2 linked regions of the Ovis aries genome follow. The protein of the gene in region 2 interacts with the protein of the main gene of each other region in a biochemical or structural test. Links are inferred from orthologs where the notes say so. Each region holds a gene or a part of one and is shown on either strand. Other genes may lie near its edges. The genes, in order: IFNAR1 and STAT2.

Evidence for each region.
Region 1: the proteins of STAT2 (region 2) and IFNAR1 form a complex in vitro, tested with the Homo sapiens proteins (2 studies listed by BioGRID). The link is inferred for Ovis aries from reciprocal best matches to the Homo sapiens genes STAT2 and IFNAR1.

What each region holds. Positions count from the first base shown.
Region 1 is NC_056054.1:122,862,324-122,866,140, reverse strand, and holds part of IFNAR1 (interferon alpha/beta receptor 1 precursor), read left to right. Parts: intron 1-3,035; coding exon 3,036-3,217; intron 3,218-3,817. UniProt on the Homo sapiens protein: Together with IFNAR2, forms the heterodimeric receptor for type I interferons (including interferons alpha, beta, epsilon, omega and kappa).
Region 2 is NC_056056.1:163,224,579-163,228,395, forward strand, and holds part of STAT2 (signal transducer and activator of transcription 2), read left to right. Parts: intron 1-442; coding exon 443-579; intron 580-751; coding exon 752-934; intron 935-1,156; coding exon 1,157-1,214; intron 1,215-1,999; coding exon 2,000-2,316; intron 2,317-2,599; coding exon 2,600-2,742; 3' UTR 2,743-3,724; coding exon of another isoform or gene 3,725-3,817. UniProt on the Homo sapiens protein: Signal transducer and activator of transcription that mediates signaling by type I interferons (IFN-alpha and IFN-beta).

The sequences.
Region 1 (3,817 bases), on a different chromosome or scaffold from region 2:
GATTCTTTACCGCCAAGCCACCTGGAAGCCCTCAGTGTTTGTGACTGACATCTAAAATGTATTATGACGGGGCTTCCCTGGCGGTCCAGTGGCTCAGAGTCCACCTGCAGTGCAGGGGACGCTGGTTTGATCCCTGGTCTGGGGAGGTTCCACATGCTGTGAAGCAGCTGGGCCCAGACACCACAACTGCTGAGCCCACACTCTAGAGCCCGAGAGCCACAACTACGAAAGCCCATGGGCCAGAGCCTGTGTTCCGCAGCAAGAGAAGCCAGGGTAGTGAGAAGCCCACGCGCTGCAGCTGGAGGGCAGCCCCCGCTCTGCACAACGAGAGAAAGCCCACATACAGCAGCAAAGAGCCGGCACAGCCAAAACTTGCAAAAAGCTTTTTTAATTATAAAATGTATTATGATGTTAGGTAGCATGGTGTTTTTATTCAACAAATACCAATTGCCTTTTATGCCGAATACTTTCCTCAGTACTTGGGGTTACGTTAGTGAATAGAGAGACAGATGGCATGAAGTTTTATTATGACAGTGGTTTCAAGAAATGAATTTTCTATTGATTGCATATTTATTTTCAAATTATATTTCTACTCTGATGTAAGTACTGTATATGATAAAGTTTTTTTAAAAGAAAATGTAAAAGAAGGGGCAATAGCCCCCTTACGTCTCCTGAGCAGAAAGAACAGACGTGGAGTGAAGGTGGGTTGAAACCATATCAAGGCTTAGTTACAAATTTTTTATAATGTTTTCTGCTTATAATAAGAGCTCTGCAGGTAACAGGAGAAGAGATGCGTTACTGGCTTTTTGCCTGGAGCTCACTTTATTTCAACCCTCTGTGCCCCTGATTGAAAGAAGTCTGTGTACCCTTCCCACTTCCCAGACGTCCTTATATCTCCTGATTGCTCTAGAACTGTATTTTCTAATAAATGACATGGGGGAGGACTGAATTTTGGTTTAGATGTTTAAAATCTGAATTTTTAAAAATAGATTCTAATGTGGAGGAGTTTCTCAGGAAGATTTGCATGTAAATTAAGGTGTTAATACTGCTTGTGAAAGGGAAGTCACAACTGCTTGACGCAGGTCATTCTGTTTGGGAGCACTTCTCACCGCTGTGATTTTTCTGACTAAATCCAGACTTGTCCACATGTTATGTGTACAGTCTCAGGAAACAGATGTTTCTGGGCGAAGGATGTCCTGAGTGAGGGAATATATGTATGCCACATATGCAAACAACTGGCAATCAGGCTGCCAGTCATGATTTCCAGAAGCTTCATGAAGGATTTCTATCCAGATGAGTTATCTTTCTGAACAGAATTGTAGAAATGTCATAGCATTTTTGTGTACTCCACTGTTGTGCTGTTATCTCTGAATTATTTTTGATAATTTAATAAAAGGTTGTGAACATTAATAAACAAAGGTGTTATTAATGCCAAGTCTACTCAGAGTTCAAGCAGGTAAAGTTAGAAGGGCAGACTGGCCAGGAATGAAGTGTGTCCATAGGGTAGTTTTTATTATTGGCACCTTTAAAAAAAAAAAATGTTTCTTTTTTTTGAAAAATAAGGTAGACTTGAGTTGGAGTCAGCACCAAAATTATTTAGATACCACTCCTACTTTCTATTGCTTTTAGTAAAGAATATGCTTAGCTTTTTAAACAACTTTTACTTATTTTTGGCTGCCCTGGGTCTTTAGTTGCAGCCAGTTGGAGCTATTGTTTTTGCAGAGCGCAGGCTCTAGGTGCGAGGTCTTCAGTCGTTGTGGTGCATAGGCCCAATTGCCTTGGAAACTTCCCAGATGAGGGATTGAACCCATGTCCCCTCCACTGGCAGACAGACTCCTAATCGCTGGACCGCCAGGGAAGTCCATCCTTTAGCTCTTTATTAAAGACACTTTAGCATCTTTAATATATAAACATGAGCTTATGCTAGAACTATGCATTAGGCTTAAAAAAGTGTCTTCTCAGAGGTTAGTTTCCCTGTTTGGTATGAGGCAGACAGGGCTTTCCAGAGGCAAAAATTCTGGAATCTAGTATTTGTTTTCTGTTGCTCACCTTCACTTCAGCGTCCTCTCCTCTTTGCGGCAGCATGGCCTTTTTGTTTTAGGCACCCTGTGTCAACTTGATTTCTTCATGTGCTTTAAAAAAAAGTCTAGTAGCAGTCACTTAAGCTTGCTTCCTGGTGAGCTGAGTCCGCATGGAGAAGTTTGTTAGCTTATGTTACCATGTTACGTTCTTTGTTTCTGGTGCTATAATAGAAGGAATTGCAGAGATCAGTATGCAGAAGGGATGGTTTGGTTTTAAGCAGAGCAGAGGAAGTTCTCAAACCATACTGATTCTGAGGTCTTGCTTAGGGCTAGTAAATCTCTTCCTAGGAGGAGATCAGAAGGGAATCAAATCCAGTTTCCAGATTTTCAGTATGGAAGAGAGGATCCAGAATAGGAAGCAGTTGGCTGAAAGTGACACAACTATTTTTAACAAAGCCAACAACACTAAGTCCTCTTTCGTCTTAGGAGTTCTTTCTCTGCTTCTTTGAAATCCTAATGCAACCACCCACAGAATTACAGAACTTTATTAAGTTGAGGGTATGTTAGAATGATTCCACTGTATAAATAATAACTTGGCTGTATATGCAATGAAAAAGAGTAGTAGAATGCTACACACAAAAATATTATCAAAACATTAACTGAAGTAGAGTTACTAGAAGAAATAACTACTTGCCTTAGCTTAGAGGCTTCCCTAGTGGCTCCGAAGGTAAAGAACCTGCCTGCCAGTGCAGGAGACACGGTAGATGTGGCTTCCATCCCTGGGTCAGGAAGATCTCCTGGAGGAGGAAATGGTAACCCACTCCCTTATTCCTGCCTGAAGAGTCCCACAGACAGAGGAGCCTGGTGGGCTACAGTCCATGGGATTGAAAGAGTCAGACACGACAGGGAGACTAACGCACACACTGGCTTTATAATGTTAATGCCAATAGAAAACATGTTTGTCACTCTTGTATTTATAATGTTCATTCATTCATTTGCTTTTTTATCTTGAAGACTAGGGACGGATAACTGGAAAAAATTGCCTGGGTGTCAACATATTACTAGTAGCAAATGCAACTTTTCTTCAGTCGAGCTTAAAGATGTTTTTGAAAAAATTGAATTGCGCATAAGAGCAGAAGAAGGAAACAACACTTCTACATGGTATGAGGTTGAGCCATTTGTACCATTTCTAAAAGGTAAGAAAAAGTTGCCAGCTGAATTATATTGAATTCTTTATTAAATATTACCAGCACAGGTCACTTCCCAAGCCCACTCATTTGCATGATATAAAATCTCCCATCTTTTAAAAAAACCAAAAGAACAAAGATTCCCTTAAACTGGTGTCTCCTTCCTGCTATGACTTCATTTTCCTGCTTTCCTTCTAGTGGTGTTTCTCAGAGGGTGGTCTCCAAGAGATCTGTCAAGTCAAAACCATTTTCCTAATGGAAACTTACTTAATAAAACTTACTTGCCTTTTTCATCTTCATTCTGTCGTGGGTGTACCCTCTAGTTTTTTAGAGGCTGTTTGATATGAGATGGTGACTGACTGGTGATGCAGAAGTGGGTGTGAGACACAGCTGTCTTCTTTATTAGGCCAGACATTAAAGAGATTTGAACAAAATGTGAGATGAACACCACCCTCTAAGTTTTGTGGCTTGTTTTGGAAAATACAGTCATTTATTATTATGCAATAGGTTTCATCATTACTGTTTTTTAATGAATTGATAGATATTTTACATTGTTATCACTTTTGACATCTGATAATGCTGAACATTCAAAGACACAGCCCATGTAAA
Region 2 (3,817 bases):
GGCATCCACTGTGTTCCAGAGCCTCCTGGGTGCTCTTGATGAATTCTCTCATGTAATTTCAGCCCTGCTGCGTGGTGGGTATTGCCACCCTCAAGTGAGGAAGTGAGGGCTCAGGGAGATTAAGGGAGTTATACCAGGGGGACAGTCGGGGTTTGAACCCAGGGCTGTCTGACCCCACCCCTGTGCACTTTCCACCACAACTGCCTGCCCATTTGGGCAGCACTTTGCCTTTTACAAGGTGCTTTTCATCTGTGTGATCTCACTGAAGCTTCACACCTCTTCCAGCCCTGGGAGGTGGATACTGTTGGTCAAATGAAATGACTTGGCCTACACAAAACAGTCTGCAACAGGTTGGCAGAACTGGGGCCCAGCCCTGGCACTCTGTCCCTCTACAAGAGGAGTAGGAAGCAGCAGGACCTCACAGCTGCTCTCTACGCTGCAGACGTATCATGGGCTTTGTGAGCCGGAACCAGGTGCGCCGGCTGCTGAAGAAGACTGTCTCTGGCACCTTCCTGCTGCGCTTCAGTGAAACGTTGGAGGGGGGCATTACCTGCTCCTGGGTGGAACACCAAGATGATGGTCAGCAGCTCTACCGTTCCCTCAGCCTCTCCTTTCCTCCCCTCTACTGCCCTTGGCTTCCCTGGCTCTGTCCCAAATCCCTTGGCAGATTTGGGGTTGGGCAGCCAGGGTGGGAAGCCCTCGGGCCCAGCCTCTCCTCTCAAGCCTGCCTGTTCCTACATCTGCTCTCTAGACGAGGTGCTCATCAACTCTGTGCAGCCCTTCACCAAGGATGTGCTGCAGTCACTCCCACTGACCAAGATCATCAGCCAGTACCAGATGCTCACAGAGGAGAACATACCCGAGAACCCACTGCGCTTCCTCTACCCGCGAATCCCCCGGGATGAGGCTTTTGGTTGCTACTCCCAGGAGAAAAGTGAGAACCATTGATACATTTCACTGGTAGAGTGCAGGGGTCCACAGGCATCCATAAATGCAGCTCTTCCATTTCAAGATGGGAAAACCGACATCCGAGAGGGGAAGGGATTTGTCTGTGGGACGCTGCTAGTCAGTCAGTAGGACCATCTGCACTAGAGGACCCTGGGGCAGTGTGTCCAATCCACTGACCTCCTCTGCCTCCTGTGTCTGTCCCCCGTAGTTAATCCTGAGGAGCGGAAGAAATACCTGAAACATAAGCTCATTTTTGTCTCTAACAGGTGAGATATGAACTCTTTGCCCACCTTCCTTAACCCTTTTTGGCTAATATAGTGACCCAGACCTGCCCAGTTCTGGTCTCCTCGGCCTTCTCTCCTCCAACCCAGGCTCCCCAGCCCTCTGGGGGTTTTTCTCCTACCCTTTTAGCCTCTATTTTCCTGCTGCCATCCCTAGGTTGTCTCCATGGGGGTTCCCTGACAATAATCATCATCATCACTAATGCAAAGCATAGTACTAGATTCTTTTAGAACATGTTTTTTTTTTTTTTTCCATTTAATCCTTATGAGAACCCAGCCAAGCCAGAAATGGTAATAGCCACAGTTAATGAAAATTCATTATGTGCCAGGCACTGGGCTAAAAGCTTTGTGTTCTTTTTCTTATTTACTGACTTCATAACAGTCCTGTGAGGCAGAAAATACTGTTATTACTGTTTTCAGTTGAGGAACCTGAGGTTTAATGTGGTGAAGTGTCATGCCTCAGGTACATGGCTAATCAGTAATCCAGGTCTCTCAAATTCCAGAGCCCTGATTTTAACCATCCTCCTGCCTCTCAATTATTCTGAAGTATGGTTGTTTAGGCTCAGAGAGGTTGGGTCATTTTGCCTAAGGTCCCCCAACTAGTAAATGATAAGATTTAAACTCTAGTAAGCCTAATTCCAGAGCCTATGGTCTTAAGCCCTCTGCTCTGTTGCCTTTTTAGACTAGAAGGATAGCCTCTGCTTTCTCTGCCATTCCCCACTTCACCTAAACAACTGAGCCCTGCTCTTTTGTCTGTATTGGGTATCCAGACAGGTGGATGAGCTGCAGCAACTGCCGGAGCTCAAGTTGGAGCCAGAGCTGGAGTCATTAGGGTTCACATCAGGGCCTGAGCACGGGCCAGGCCTGGACTTAGAGCCACTGCTGGAGGCAGGATTGGATCTGAGCATGGAGCACACGCTGGAGCGCACGCTGGAGCGCACACTAGGCGAGGTGTCACAGGGAGTCCTAGAACCACACCCAGGACCACAACTGCAGCTGGAGCCTATTCCAGAGCTCGATGTACAGGCCATACCAGAACCAGATTTGCCCTATGATCTGAGACACTTGAACACTGAGGACATGGAAAGTAAGTGATGATGTGCAACCAGGGAAGAGAGGACACATTGCCTTTCCCAACTCCCCTCCCTCACTCGCTATAGAAAAAGCCTATGTTCTAAGCTCCTCATTGGAGAAAGGCTGATTTCCCTGCAATTCATTTCATTAGGAAATACACATGCCTCCCCCAACCCACCTAATGCCCCCCTCAGGCCCTATCTAGGCCTCTGCTGCCATCCTCTCTCACTTTCCCTGCTGGTTTGGGAACTCCTACTCTGAGATCAGGGCCTGACTTCTTTCTCTGGATGATCCAGTCTTTAGGAACAGCATGAAGATTGAAGAAATCATGCCAAACGGTGATCCACTATTGCCTTGCCAGAACACCATGGATGAAGCTGACGTCTTCAGCCCCAGCCACTTCTATGCAGATGGGCCCTTGAGCCCTTCTGACTACTAGGAGCTACATTTCCTCAGATCTTTCTGTGCATCTGCCCTCCTACCCCTCACATCATGACACTGCTCTCCAAGGATGGACATGAGGCATGTGCCCCTTCTAAACTGGGTTAACCCTGGGGGAATGTGAGGGAGAAGCATAATATGGGTGAGGGAGAGGCAGCAATGAATCAGAAGAGATGTTACCCATGGCTCCGACTAGGAGCCTGGAGGCTGCCTGCTGTGCTGGGAGGTACAGGCATTCAAGGGCAGGCCAGGACAGTTAGGAGGTTCCTGTATGGCTCAGGGCAGTGGCTTCTTTCCAGTATGGAAGGCTTTCAACATTTTAGTGACTGATAAGACTAACCTGGTGCTCATTTCATCTTTCTGGAATGCCCTTTCTGCTCATAACAGCTCTGACTGTTGGCCAAGAAAGCAGGGAAGGAAGCCCTGGGTCAAGGAGCAAGAGAGGGCCACGCCTAGGAACGATACTTCCCAATTGCAGTCCCTTGTAACCTCATTCAGCTTGCTCAGCCTTAGCAGGGATTATGGCCAAAAAGATCCCAGTTACTCTATATACCAAGGGGTCACAAGGTAAGACCCCTTTCCACCATAGCCCTGCAGAACAGAAGGATGCATTTTATAGTGCTTTGACTCTATTTTTCCATTCTGTTTCTTTTTACTGACAAGCCTAGACTTAGAGATCCACATAAATAAGTCTTTATTGAAAAAGGTACATAATTCAGTATAAATATAATAAATAATCCTCATCCCCAAGCTCCTGCCACTATAAATAATCCCAAAATTTCCCTTCCCATATAATAAATATTCAGCCTCTCCTGAGTCAACATCATAAGTCAGTCAGTTTTGGTAATTTTTCAACAGAATAAGTCTCATTAAAATTAATGGACCGATGAACTCATTGGCTCACAGGTGTCTAGGTTGATAGATTGATCTTAACATTACTGAGCCATGGAGGTCTGGGTGTCATCCTTAAGCTGCTGGCTTTAGGGGCTCAGAGTTGCTGCTCCGTGGGCAAAGACCCGGGCAGCTACAGCCACAAAGGCCTGGAGGCTTCGAAGGATCTTGAGACGGAGAAG